3 linked regions of the Tribolium castaneum genome follow. The protein of the gene in region 2 purifies or fractionates together with the protein of the main gene of each other region. This does not show direct contact. Links are inferred from orthologs where the notes say so. Each region holds a gene or a part of one and is shown on either strand. Other genes may lie near its edges.

Region 1 (4,208 bases), on a different chromosome or scaffold from region 2:
ACTCTCAGTTTCGCACGTCTCGTTAGGGTTTGCAGGTTTAACAAAGTCGCCACTCTTGAAATCTGATCCGTGCAAACTGAAGTTGAAATTTTTGTGATTTAATTCAACTCCAGAACTGTTGACGAAATCATTCGAGGCTGAATCGGGCGTACTTAACAATTCTTTACGCTCGCGGTGGGCCTTTTTTGTTGGTGAATCGGAAACGCTCGAGTTATCCGATGCAACTGACGCAGTTTCGTTATTTTTTTGTTGTGAGTTTTTCGGAGACTCGGTTTCTTCGTCAAGGTTTATTACCTCAACAGGTGTCTCCACTGGCTCAACAAATACAACATCGTCATTTGACGACTTGTTTTCACTAATATCTTTCTTATTATCATCGTCTGAATCACAAACAGACAAAACCGGCCAATTTTCAGGAATTAACACACAGCTATCCTCCTCGTTCTCACTATCGGACAATGTAATGACCTTGTCACAATTACTTGGTTCTTGGTTTCCCGGTACGACACCTGGTGTTTGTTTCGGAGGTTCCTTCTGAGAATTGGCCAGTTTCTCCAATTTCTTCTGCTTCCTTTTGTAGTTTTTCCAGCGCGCCTTATTACGATTTTTCTTAGGAGTTACACAAACTATCGGACTTTGAGGAGTCAAAACAACTAGTTGGTTGATTGATATATTATCAGGCCTGTGGCGCCTGTTGCAACTTTTTGAGTAAAACCCTGGATGGGACTGGTCATTATCCTTGAAAGTTGGTGGTCTTGTGTTTTGTTTTGCATGCACACTTTTTTGGAATTTGCTGCCAGGGGTCCAAGGGCCGAAGTAACGGGCCTGATTTTTCATGTTTTCGGGGGCCAAAGGCGCGACTGGTGCAGACGGAAGGACTAAATCGCTTTCGGTATCAACCGAGTGGTAAACTTGACTATAAAGACGTGATTCGATTTCTTCAAGGTCCAAGTCATTCTGGAACAATACACGTAGATTGCTCAAATTGTAATAAGTTGAACAATACCATGGTTAGTTGTAAATCTACATTTTAAAAGTAACAGTACGAGAAAAAAATTGTAACTTGAACCAAAAATTAGTAACATTTGACAGCGAAAGCGAAACACACGTGGTTTTCGTCACCAACTTTGCGGAGGAAAACGCACTAGTGGGATACGATTTCGGACGCGAAATCCGAAAACAACTCACTTTACCTCCTGTACATTTGTCCGGGTTAAATCCGAATTATTGTCTTTAATTTTGATGATGTAAACACTTTCCGTTCGCTTGGAATTAACGATAAGATAACACGAAAGTTGATTGTGTAACTTGCATTGGCAACACTTATATCTATTGACGGTTGGGAATTTTCGCTTTTTCCCTAAATTGTTTTCTAATAATAATCATTTTAACAAGTTTTTTGCAAATAAAGCCCGTTTTGCGACATGACCGTGACCGAATCCTCGGAACACGACGGTGAGAAAGACGAGAACAGTGCCGAGGCCCCCAGCGAAGACGACAAAAACGTCCTAACCTCTTACATCCAAGAGGTGGAAGAGAGGTTTGTTTGCAAGCAAGAGCTGCGAAGTGCCAACCAAAATGCGGCAAATACGCGCCCCAGCGAGTCCCACTTCAGCAAGCTGGACTCCAGCCTCAAGAAGAACACGGCGTTTGTTAAGAAAATCAAAAACTTCTCTGCCAACCAAGTGGACACATACTTGAAAGACATGACGGGGCTGAACCTGTCCAAGTACATATCGGAGATTGCGGCTGCGATAGTCGATGCTAAATTGAAAATGACCGATGTGGGCGCAGCCGTAAAGATGTGCAGTGTTTTGCACCAGACTTACGCTGATTTCTCGCAACACTTGTTTGAGAACTGGCAGAAAACCCTGGCCTTTAAAGTGGGTGAGAAGATTCCAAATCCGAGTAAACTGAGGGTGGATTTAAGGTTTTATGCCGAGTTGGTGCAGGCTGGGGTGTTTAGCAATAAAAACGCGTTCACTTTGCTGGGGACCGTGATCACCACTTTGGTCAACATGGACAAGGACGAACACTACAATTGCTCAATAATCCTCAGCTTTTGCAAGCACTGCGGCGAAGATTACGCAGGTAATTTTGGTATTTTTCGCCCAATCAACTACTCGTATCCCCAGGCGGACCGCATATTAAACGCCAGTCAAGTCGATAAAAATGTTAATTTTTTCGAAATATAGGTCTGGTCCCTCGCAAGATGCGGGAATTGTCCGAAAAATTCGACATCCCCATCCCGAAGAGCACTTTCCTGCCGCCCGAGAAGCAGCAAAACGTGCGCACCTTGCTGAGGGATTACTACGTTTCGCTCAGTAAGCATCTCGTCAAAGACCACCAAGAGATCCAAAACTTCGAGAAGCAGAACATGAGGATACTCCAAACCAAAGGCGAGTTGAGTCAAGAACGAAAAGACAAGCTCGAGGCGCTTCAAACATCGTACGATAAATTATTAGCTTCGACACAAAGTTTTGCGGAAATTTTAGACGAAGATATGCCAACTTTGAAAAATCAGACTCTCATGAAAAATGATGAGGTGGCTTTAATTAATTGGGTGGGATAAAGAATTAACTGAGAATTTTTAGAGTATGATAGTGACAGGTGCGGGGCCCGATTTGGACGAAGCTGCGTTGGCTAATATCGAGAATGTTTGGTGCGATATTGAAACGCAGAGGTTTTACTGCGAGTTGCCGGAATTGCAAGCTTTTTTGCCGACTTCTTATATAAATAAACAGGCGCCTCCGCCCGAGGAGTCGGTCACTGAGGAGGTGCTGGATTCGGAAATACCAACTGAAGAACTGGAAGATGACGGTGGGTAAATTTGATAATTTATCTCAGAAATTTTTGTTTTGAGACATTGTCGTCTAGAAAAAACTGTCTTGAATGTTACCGCTTTTTTATCTTCAGTAAGAAAGAGTCCTAGAGATTAAAAAAAAAATTTGAATATATCCGTTCCGTTCAGAAAATAATGGTTGCAACCCCTCATATTAGGGACCGTTTAGAAACCGCTTATAATTTTCTATCCAATGAAAAAACGGCATTTTACGAGGCATAGTTTCTGAAAAACTACTAAGGATTTTCCAGGTTTTCTTGGACCAATCGATTTGCGCGAATCATTTATTAATTATTAATAGATTTGTCATAAAAAAAAATTACGCTGATGACGATACTGTTTGACGTTCTCTTATTTCGTCGTAATCGTCATCCGAAAGTTAAATAACTTTGAGATATTGATCACGAGTAGAAACCTGCATCAATTCATTCTAGTTTTTTATAAGGTTTACGTTGATCGATTCGTTGGAATCGGTACTTAAAAAAGTCAAAAATTTAGTTTTCTAAAACTTTTAACGCGTTTTTTTCAAAAACTATAAAAGTCCGACTAGAAAAAATTAAAAACCGTCAGTCTCTACTTTTAATTCTTTATCAAACAGTGAAAATCTGGAATCAGAGTCGATTTTATAAAAAAATATGACTTGAAAACTAACGGTTCCAGTGTTATGTAAGCGAATTATGTTGACCTACTAAGAAACTGTCGGCCTCAAAATACATGTCGGAAACTGCATATTTGAAAATTAAAATTCCTCCACGATTTTTACAATCTTTAATGAATTCTACTTTCATACATTCAAAAACTTCAATTTTTTACGCTTAACCAACAAATTAATGATTCCTATGCGAAGAACTGCCGAGATATCGACCGTTGATATTTTTGAAATTAAATATTTTCTTTATTAAAAAAAAATATATAATTCCTTTGGGCTACGGATCCCCGGATTATTTTTATAAAGTTATAAGTTTCATCAATTCCGGGGTGCTCCGAGTGGTTTCCGAAAAACACGGTGATATTATGTTTTTAATGTCTCAGCGCCCCAGAAATGCTCAAATATTCATCGCAGAGCATTTTCACCGAGTTTCACTAATCGCATTGTGTTGAAGACGTCATTTTACGATTGGAAAATTTATTCATGTAGTAAAATCGTAAATGCTAATGAAATAAATTCTTGAAATTTTCACACTTCGACTAATTGATAAAAGAACCATTCCCAAATTTTTTTTGTAATTAATAAAGTCTTAGCAGTTTTATAAAGTTTTTATAATAAGTGGTATCACAATAACAAATTTTTACTTTATTGGTTAAACAATCGGCAATTTTTTATTTAAACACAAACCAGACGCGTGATTTATTAGAAGATGGTATA
Region 2 (4,092 bases):
TTGTTACTTTGGTCGATCATTGGAGCATTAACCCTTTTTCCACAAAACTCGTTCCTGCTTGAAATGTAACAAGAAACATGCTTCTGTTTGATGAAACCCGTACAGTCCTCGTGTTGATAAACACGAACATCAAAACTGAGCAATTTGTTGAATTTTTGCCTTTGTGCCAACGGGAGATCCACTCTCCTATCCCAAGTAAAGCTCTGTACAAATCGATCAAGTTTCGCAATTTCAAATGCCTTATCGTCAGTTGCATTAAAATGTAGCAAAACCAAACCAAAATTAGAAAAAATGACATTATTGACCCTTTTTGTCACTCCCCCGAAAGACCACCATGACGACCCTAATCTCAGAACGCCCAAATTTTCAACACAGTCATCAACAGCTAGGGCCCAGTTTCGCGCAATAACACCAACAGCACATTTGAAAAATCCTTCTTTTGCATCAATATATCGCTTTCCGAGAAGAGCGGCAATTGCTGGATTCTCTGATTCCTTACACTTTGCAAGAGTGAAGGTTTGGCTAAGAGAACTAATAGATCTTTTGTTAAGGGCATCAAGTTCAAATTCATATTCTATGTATTCGCGATCGCGTTTGTCGTAAATATTTAGAGTTTTATTTGCTAAATAACAGCATAGAGCGTCACATCTTTCCGAGGCAGGCCCAAAGGCCCCAAAGGCAAACGCTAAGTAAAGCGCGACCATTACCACGAAGAATGGGACTGCTACCATCAAAATAAGGTGAAGAACAGTTTGAAATGAGCTTTTCTACAACAGTTAAGTGGGTTATTGGAACATTTTCTATAAAGTTTTACCATGATTAACGCTAAATTATGTCAAAATTTTTGAATTTTAATTTATTTTTTTTAATTTCACAAGTTGTCTCTGGTGCGATCTATGCAACTAATATAACTCAAATTGTATAAAAAAAATTTTAACTAAAAAACTATAGATGACGTTTCAATCGACTGCTTATATTAGTTTGCGGCCTTTTGGACAATTTTATCAACAAGGGCGTTTTTATTTAAATTTTACTTATAAAAGTATAGGCAACTAGTTATTCAGTTGCCACCAAAAGTTGGTGCTTCTGTGCTTAACCTAACCTCTGAAACCTTGTGACAAGGAGTTGCTAGTTGGCACCAACTTGTTTCTCTCTGTTTCTTTTCCTTTCACGTCGTTCCATTGAGCATGAAAAGGACCAGAAACGAGACGTAAGTCTTGAATTTGTCACTGGCCATCGAATCTTGCCAATCCGGCCAAGATAAAGATATTTGTAAAACAACAAAAAGATGGAAGAAACCGTTGCTGTGCCAGCGACAGCCCCCCAAACGGTGGAAAACATATCACAGGTGAGCCCAATTGCTCCTTACGTTGCTCCTTCGTTCCGGAAAAGAGAAAGATTTGAGAAAAAATTAACAAACCAGGTCACAAGTTCAGAACGAAGTGGAGCACAACCGAGGCGATCTCGCGTGAATTCTTCTCAGTTTAAGAATGATTTTGCAGGAAAAGACACGAATTGACGCTGAGGAGAGCCACAAGTCCCCTAACGAGTCGGAGTATGACAGTGCAGGGAGTTACAGTGATGAAGAGGAGGATAAAGCGAGGTCGAGGAATTCCAGGGAGCACACTGATTCGGAAACTGAAGGCAGTGTAGGGCTGGAGCGGGAATCTGGCGACGGACAGGAGAGTTTGCCTCTCAGGAAGGTGGACGATGATGAGGACAAGAAAAACCCCCAGTACATACCCAAAAGGGGCACTTTTTACGAACACGATGACCGGACAGCTGATGACGAGTGAGTGCGAATAATTACACAGTTCATGTAGTGTGACTGATTAATTGTTTAGGCAAACAGCTGATAATGTAGAATTGGAGAAGGAAAAAGAACAGAAGAAAAAAGTATGGCAGGATAAGAAGGAAAGGTGGAGTCATGATCGTTTTAACGACTCTGAGCAAGCCCCCAAGTCCAGGGCTGAACTTGTGGCCATCTATGGGTACGATATTAGGAACGAGGAAGGTCCCCCTCGAGCTCGAAGGCGCAGACGATACGGGTGAGTTCCCTCACTGTGTTAAAAATCGGTTTAATTTGTTGCGCATGCATTTCCAAAGACGTGGCCCTAACAAGTATACAAGAAACTGGGAAGACGAAGATGCCTACAACAAACCGCCACCTCTTATTCGTAAAAAGAAACCCCTCAGAAAGCCCAATCAAGGCGAAGACTTTCCGCCTCTAAACCGCTCAAGTAATCAAGAAGACCCGCAGGATAGCAGAGATTACGAAGAGAAAACAGACCAGTACCAAGCTGAAACAAACGGTAACACGAAAAATTCAGTATGCGAGTCTCCGCAGTCTCCGCCAGTCCCACCACAAGAATCCAACAGGATGCAGCAACGCGTCGGTTCTGGCCGTGTGGTTAAACCAAAACGCGAAATCAAGGATTCAGATTATAGGGGTTTTACTACAAAAACACGTCAAGTTAGGAATATGAAAACTGATCAAAAAGTCGTCCCGAAATCCTCGAAAAAAGACGATTTTATCCAGTCGCAAAATTTTACAAATAAAAATAACAACATACAAGAGCTAGAAAAGGATTTATCAAAATTGAACGTTCAGGATGGGGTGCATAAAGGGGGTAAACACGGGGGACAGAGACAAGGCAGCGTCCCACCAAGACTCCAATCGGAACAAAAGGGCTCCAAACGGTACAGTTCCATCAGACAGAGGTCGCTTCCAGAGTCGGCAACGCCGCCGTTCTCGCAGCACTCGAATTACTACTCAAATGGTAGGTTCAAATTATAACATCATCACTTAAATTTATTTTCAAGTATACGCACAATACAAATAATTTATGTTATGGTTATGATTTTGCGCTAAATGTTACTGGTCGATTTTGTTTGGTTTTTGATTTTTTTTTACACAAACACAAAGTACAACAGTAAGTGTTAAAAGAAAAAGAAAATATTTTTGGCCATGAAGTAGATTTTAAGTAATAAAGAATGATTATTATTGTTGATGGGAAATTTTTTTCTGAGTATTAGATTTTGATGAGATTTTTTAGTTTTCAGAATTTTTTTCTGAATTAAGTAAAGCAGTGAACGCATTTTAAAAGACTTTCTCCCCTAGAGTCTGAGTGAAAGAATGTACCCTGTAAAATAATATCAAAAATGCTTCTTAACACGGCTGTAAATCATTGCGGAAAATAGCTAAAATGTAATCCTTTTTTGCCCTCTTAATTATAGTCTTGAATATATTTTCTTAGGCAACCAATTCGCAATATATTCCTTTGGACATTACATTTGATAAAAAATAATTTTCATCTGGTAAGTAGATGGGTCCAGGACGACCTTAATTCGGATCTAAACTAGTAAATATTATAATTGATTAGTTTAACTCTGACTAAAACATTTTTGGATTATCATTAGACCCCTCAGTGGTTTGAGGCCACGCTGTACCTACTAAGCGCCCCCTGGCCCTTAATTAACATCAATTTTTCCCAACTGTAAAACTAGAGACAGGATATAGGTAGTTTGAAAGTGTTACAGTACAGTATAGTGAACAAAAAATTTCGGGCACTTAATTAACGGCATTAAAAAAAACGATGTGGTTTAGGCTTAATGAGACGAATGTTTTTAACACGAAGGTTTATGAAGATGAAATGTTGAAGATCTTTGATTTTTTGCTCGCGACGGTACTTACAGGAAACATTTTTTGATAGGTACTTCTGGACCGCGCCAACATTTTTTGGTTGAACAAATGAGCACTTACCACTTTTACGTGTGATTAATTTAGAAATTATGAGTGCAGTCACCATACGCAGTCAGTGTGGGAGCTCTTAACACTTTTGCATAAATCAGCAGCACAGTCTGAAAAACACTACATTGATATTACGTGTTTTATGTGCCTTATGACCCCCTTTAGCATTTTTCAATTACCCAAAACAGTTTCCACAGATTTTTCGTCTTATTTGTTGGATTTTCTCAAATCATTTTCGAAATGTCATCCGTCAAATTTAAAAGAACGTGCGCATGCGCAATAATTTTTAACGTGTGTATTAGCCAAATTCTTTTGTAACTAAAATAAAAAAGTTTTCATTT
Region 3 (4,036 bases), on a different chromosome or scaffold from region 2:
CGGTACCATACATTCGGGTTCAGTCGCTTGCATACTTTCATCAATCAGAATCGAATGAAATTTCAAACGAACCAATCGTGGATCACCTGCCCCCACACAAGTACAACAAATAACATCGGCAGCTTCGAGTAATTCTTTCTCAGCCAATTTTTTCAACATTCTGTATCGTTTCTCATCAACTGAACTCAACTCTCCAGTCTCATCTTTCAACTGTTGCAACTTCTGGAGTTCAGTATTGGCTTCCATTTTACGTATCTGATTATGCAATGCAAGAAAACTCACAGGCGAATCAATCGCTTCGCGTGATTTCGCACACAATCTTACAACTTTTAGATTAGTTTTGTGAATTTTTTCGGTAAGTTGGTCAACTGCCGTATTACTGGGAGCACAGACTAGGACTGGACCGCCGTTTTGTTTCACCAATTGATAGACGATGGTGGCGGAAGTTACGGTTTTTCCCGTTCCGGGAGGACCTTGGATGAGGGAGAGTGGACGCTGGAGGGCATGTTTGACGGCGTAGACTTGCGAACGGTTCAAGTCGGGAAGATTAGGTGCCGAAAAATGTTTAGGGAGGTGACAACGGAAAAGGACCTCTTCGACCTCGTGGCCGAGGAGGCGGTGGTAGATGTAGGCGGAAACGGATGTATCGTCAACGGCGAATTTTCGCAAGGCGAGTTGCATCCTGCAATTAACAATAAAGGCGAGCTCAGAAAAAAACGACGTGAAAACTTGTTTTCACATAATTATTTTTTTAATTAAATATTCTTAGAAACCTTATAAAAAAATTACCACATTAATATAGCTTGAAATATCAACGCTTAAAATTAACATCTTACAAAGATTTTTTTAACATTCGGAAATAAGAAGTGAAAATGCGTCACTTCTCTCATGCTTTTTTTTTAATTACTGTGATTTTTAAAATAAAGTTTGATTGTAATATTATACTTATATTTAATGTGAAAGTTTATAACAATGGTACTTTCAACGTTTGACTACTAACAGTAAAACATTAATTAAAAAAATAAATAAAAAATGTGATACATAAAGAGATTAACGTGATTATTTCTGTTTCTATCACAACAACGAAATTTACCTGTCAAAACTGGTACTTTTCCAAATGAAATCCACCACAAAGTTGCTGTTACAATCGGTGGGAGCCCCATTTCCGTTCTTCAACTCAATGCCAATATCCTCTCCGTAATTATCAGGAACTTTGATAACGTGTCCCACCCCCGCCCATGATTTATGCATTTCTCCCACGTATCTAAGTCTCAACTCATCTCCGTGCATTAATTTCATATCCCCGTCAGTTTTAGCAAGAGTAAAATACGCAATTGTTTTCTTATTCAAACCCACATCCCACCTAACTTCAATATTTTCCTGAGTCTGAGACTCCTTCAATCTTTTATCATAATCAGCTTCAAGCTTAACAAGAGGACCAAAAATGTTTTGGTACTGATAACCGTCCTCATATCGCAATAAAACCTACCAAAAAAAATTATAATAAATACGTTAGAACTGTGCAAACAAGACTAACTTGTTGCGGTTCTTCGTCAACTCCTGGCCGTTCCAAATCCTGGAACGTGGCATCAACATTATCTTTCCAAAGTTCTTCAAGTTTGTTGATTTGTTGGGCTGAGATTTGGCGCGCTCGCAGTTGTTCCTGTTCTGATGGTATTTTTACAAGCCATGTGAGAAAACACCGGTCGGTAATGAGTGGTTTCCATTGGTCTTGATCCCAGTTCATGTCCTATTAAAAGCTTGAAAACTGTCCTATTTTAAAAGCAATGACTTACTTTAAGTGAGTTTTGGGCGGCACAAGGTTGGCGGCAAAGTAGCACCACAACAGAGTCAGCTTTGGCAGGAATGAACCCCAAAACAAAAACATTGCGGACGCCACAACTGTAACATTCAAGGATTGTCTCGCCCAAAGGGCCGTCCTTGTGTAAGGTCACTTCCTTGTGTTTGGCTCGGACCTAAACCCCAATCAAAAAACAGTTTCCAAGTTGAAATTCCTCACCAAATGGTTGATTATGTGGCTTCCTGAGGTGTTTCCTCTCCCGTTACAAAACCACTTTTTGCAGCAGTTGCACATGACAACGCAATTCGGCTCATGAATGCCGCAGTACTTGCACGCGTAGTTCGGGAGCTCCTTGCTGTTGAAATACTCCTCATCCTCTTCCTCGAATTGCAGTTCCCCTAAAGCACTCGTCGCATTGGCGATTTTGTTGTTGATGTTGTTGTTGAGCTAAAACAACAACGTCATACGACACTGAACCAGGGGGCGACCTTGCACTAACCTGTACACCGGAAACTTTGGGGCCCGCGTGGTCGTGCTGCGAGGCTTGCGTTTGCGATGGAATTGTGAAATCGGTGAATTCGCATTCGGATCCTTGGGTGTCAGCCCCGATCAAGTCGTTTTCTTCGGTCTCTAAAAACGTGAGAGTTTGCGAACTGGGGCCGTATGCGTCGACACTCATCTTGGAGATTTCGTCGCGAACGAATTGAAGCACGGGTTTATTCACGTTTACTGATGAAACACTTTTAACACTTCAATTGATGACAACTCGACTATGGTTACTTTAAAATTTCTACATTTTTCTCCTGGCAAGCGCCATATTTTCCTGATTAATCATTTGTTTTTTTATCGTCATTTCTCTTTCCGAAGCATAATTGACGGAGCGGGAAACTTAAACACTCGTGCTATCTTTTTCAGTTTTTAGCGCACTGATCTTTTTTATGGCCTCAAAATTAAAAAGTGGTTTAGGAAATAGATTATTGCACAACCTTATTGTCTAATTTAATCCCTAAGCTTTTTTTCGTTGGTTGGCACGGTGTTATCATTGTGGTTACCATCTTATCGGAGTGAGACACGTATCGCAATCTTTTAAGTTAAAGAGAGATAAGCATATGTTTGATTGTAGAAGTGGCTAAGGCTGCGTCACTTTATGATTTGATTTTTCACTTTTTTGTAAATTTTACATTTAAACATTATTTTTATTATAAAATTATAGCATAAAGTTTATTGATTTTTCGGTTTTTATTCAACATTCAACACATGACTGCAAAAAAGAGGCATATCAAAATAAAAAAAACACATTTTTCAAAAACAGCCGATTTTTCAGTGAAATTTTATCGGTAATAAGTCAAAAACATAAAATGATGTTCGTTTTAAAAGAACGTAAATTTACGAATGTTTTTGTCGAAATAAATAAAACTAAAAAACGTAATAAGTTTATTGAGTAGATGACCAATAAAACAACTGAGCATTTGGTTTTGCCTACCTAATTATTAAATTAAAAATGGACGAAAAATGGCGAAATTATTATGATTTATGATTATTGAATTTGATATTGCTATTACAAACTTTATCCATAAAAATAGAACGTGGACTCAATAAAAACATTATCAAGAAATGACTGTATTTTATTAAATTAATAGAAATCACACATGCTCTTTATTACAACTGGCACTCCTTATTTTTTAATTCTTCTCATGTTTAAGTAGCTTGCGGTTACTTAAATGCTCACGTATCATTCTGGTTTCCCACAGATACATAATAAATATTACGATGATATAATTGATAGTTTGAAAACTGTTAACTTTTTATTAGGTTTTTGTACAGCGACAATTCAACACATCTATTAATAATTTATTAAAGTTTTACTGCATTATGACCCAACTCATAAATAGTATTGATTACAAATTCCCAACTACACTACAATGAGTATTGTTACAAAATATTTCTTAAACACGTCTCTACATGGCTTGCATTTCATAGCTGATAAGAGATTCCACTGGACTGAAAGATTTTTTTGGACAATATGTGTCCTAACTTCTTGGGTAAATCCCACAAATCGTCAAATTTTTACCACAATAAAATAGATTCACAGGCCGCATCGATTATGCTAATGTTTAACGCACTAGACCAGTATCAAAACCAAAAAATATCCTTTTCAGTGGACACATCTTACTTAAATTGGCAAACAAACTTTCCTTCAATTGTTATTTGCGAACGATCAAATCCAAAAAAAAT

What was found.
Region 1: the proteins of btz (region 2) and Upf2 fractionate together in Homo sapiens (co-fractionation; 3 studies listed by BioGRID and IntAct). This does not show direct contact. The link is inferred for Tribolium castaneum from reciprocal best matches to the Homo sapiens genes CASC3 and UPF2.
Region 3: the proteins of btz (region 2) and regulator of nonsense transcripts 1 purify together in Homo sapiens (co-immunoprecipitation; 5 studies listed by BioGRID and IntAct, with this or other methods). This does not show direct contact. The link is inferred for Tribolium castaneum from reciprocal best matches to the Homo sapiens genes CASC3 and UPF1.

The regions. Positions count from the first base shown.
Region 1 is NC_087394.1:28,282,411-28,286,618, forward strand, and holds the start of Upf2 (regulator of nonsense transcripts 2), read left to right. Parts: upstream 1-1,334; 5' UTR 1,335-1,424; coding exon 1,425-2,091; intron 2,092-2,195; coding exon 2,196-2,545; intron 2,546-2,594; coding exon 2,595-2,820; intron 2,821-4,208. Other genes in the region: uncharacterized protein Zcchc7, read right to left, coding at 1-837. UniProt on the Homo sapiens protein: Involved in nonsense-mediated decay (NMD) of mRNAs containing premature stop codons by associating with the nuclear exon junction complex (EJC).
Region 2 is NC_087396.1:15,136,089-15,140,180, forward strand, and holds the start of btz (protein CASC3), read left to right. Parts: upstream 1-1,209; 5' UTR 1,210-1,288; coding exon 1,289-1,348; intron 1,349-1,502; coding exon 1,503-1,792; intron 1,793-1,844; coding exon 1,845-2,048; intron 2,049-2,106; coding exon 2,107-2,780; intron 2,781-4,092. UniProt on the Homo sapiens protein: Required for pre-mRNA splicing as component of the spliceosome. Core component of the splicing-dependent multiprotein exon junction complex (EJC) deposited at splice junctions on mRNAs.
Region 3 is NC_087397.1:527,853-531,888, reverse strand, and holds the start of regulator of nonsense transcripts 1, read right to left. Parts: upstream 2,814-4,036; 5' UTR 2,481-2,813; coding exon 2,301-2,480; intron 2,249-2,300; coding exon 2,021-2,248; intron 1,977-2,020; coding exon 1,797-1,976; intron 1,751-1,796; coding exon 1,538-1,750; intron 1,486-1,537; coding exon 1,094-1,485; intron 683-1,093; coding exon 1-682. Other genes in the region: sodium channel protein Nach, read left to right, coding at 3,724-3,843, 3,894-4,036. UniProt on the Homo sapiens protein: RNA-dependent helicase required for nonsense-mediated decay (NMD) of aberrant mRNAs containing premature stop codons and modulates the expression level of normal mRNAs.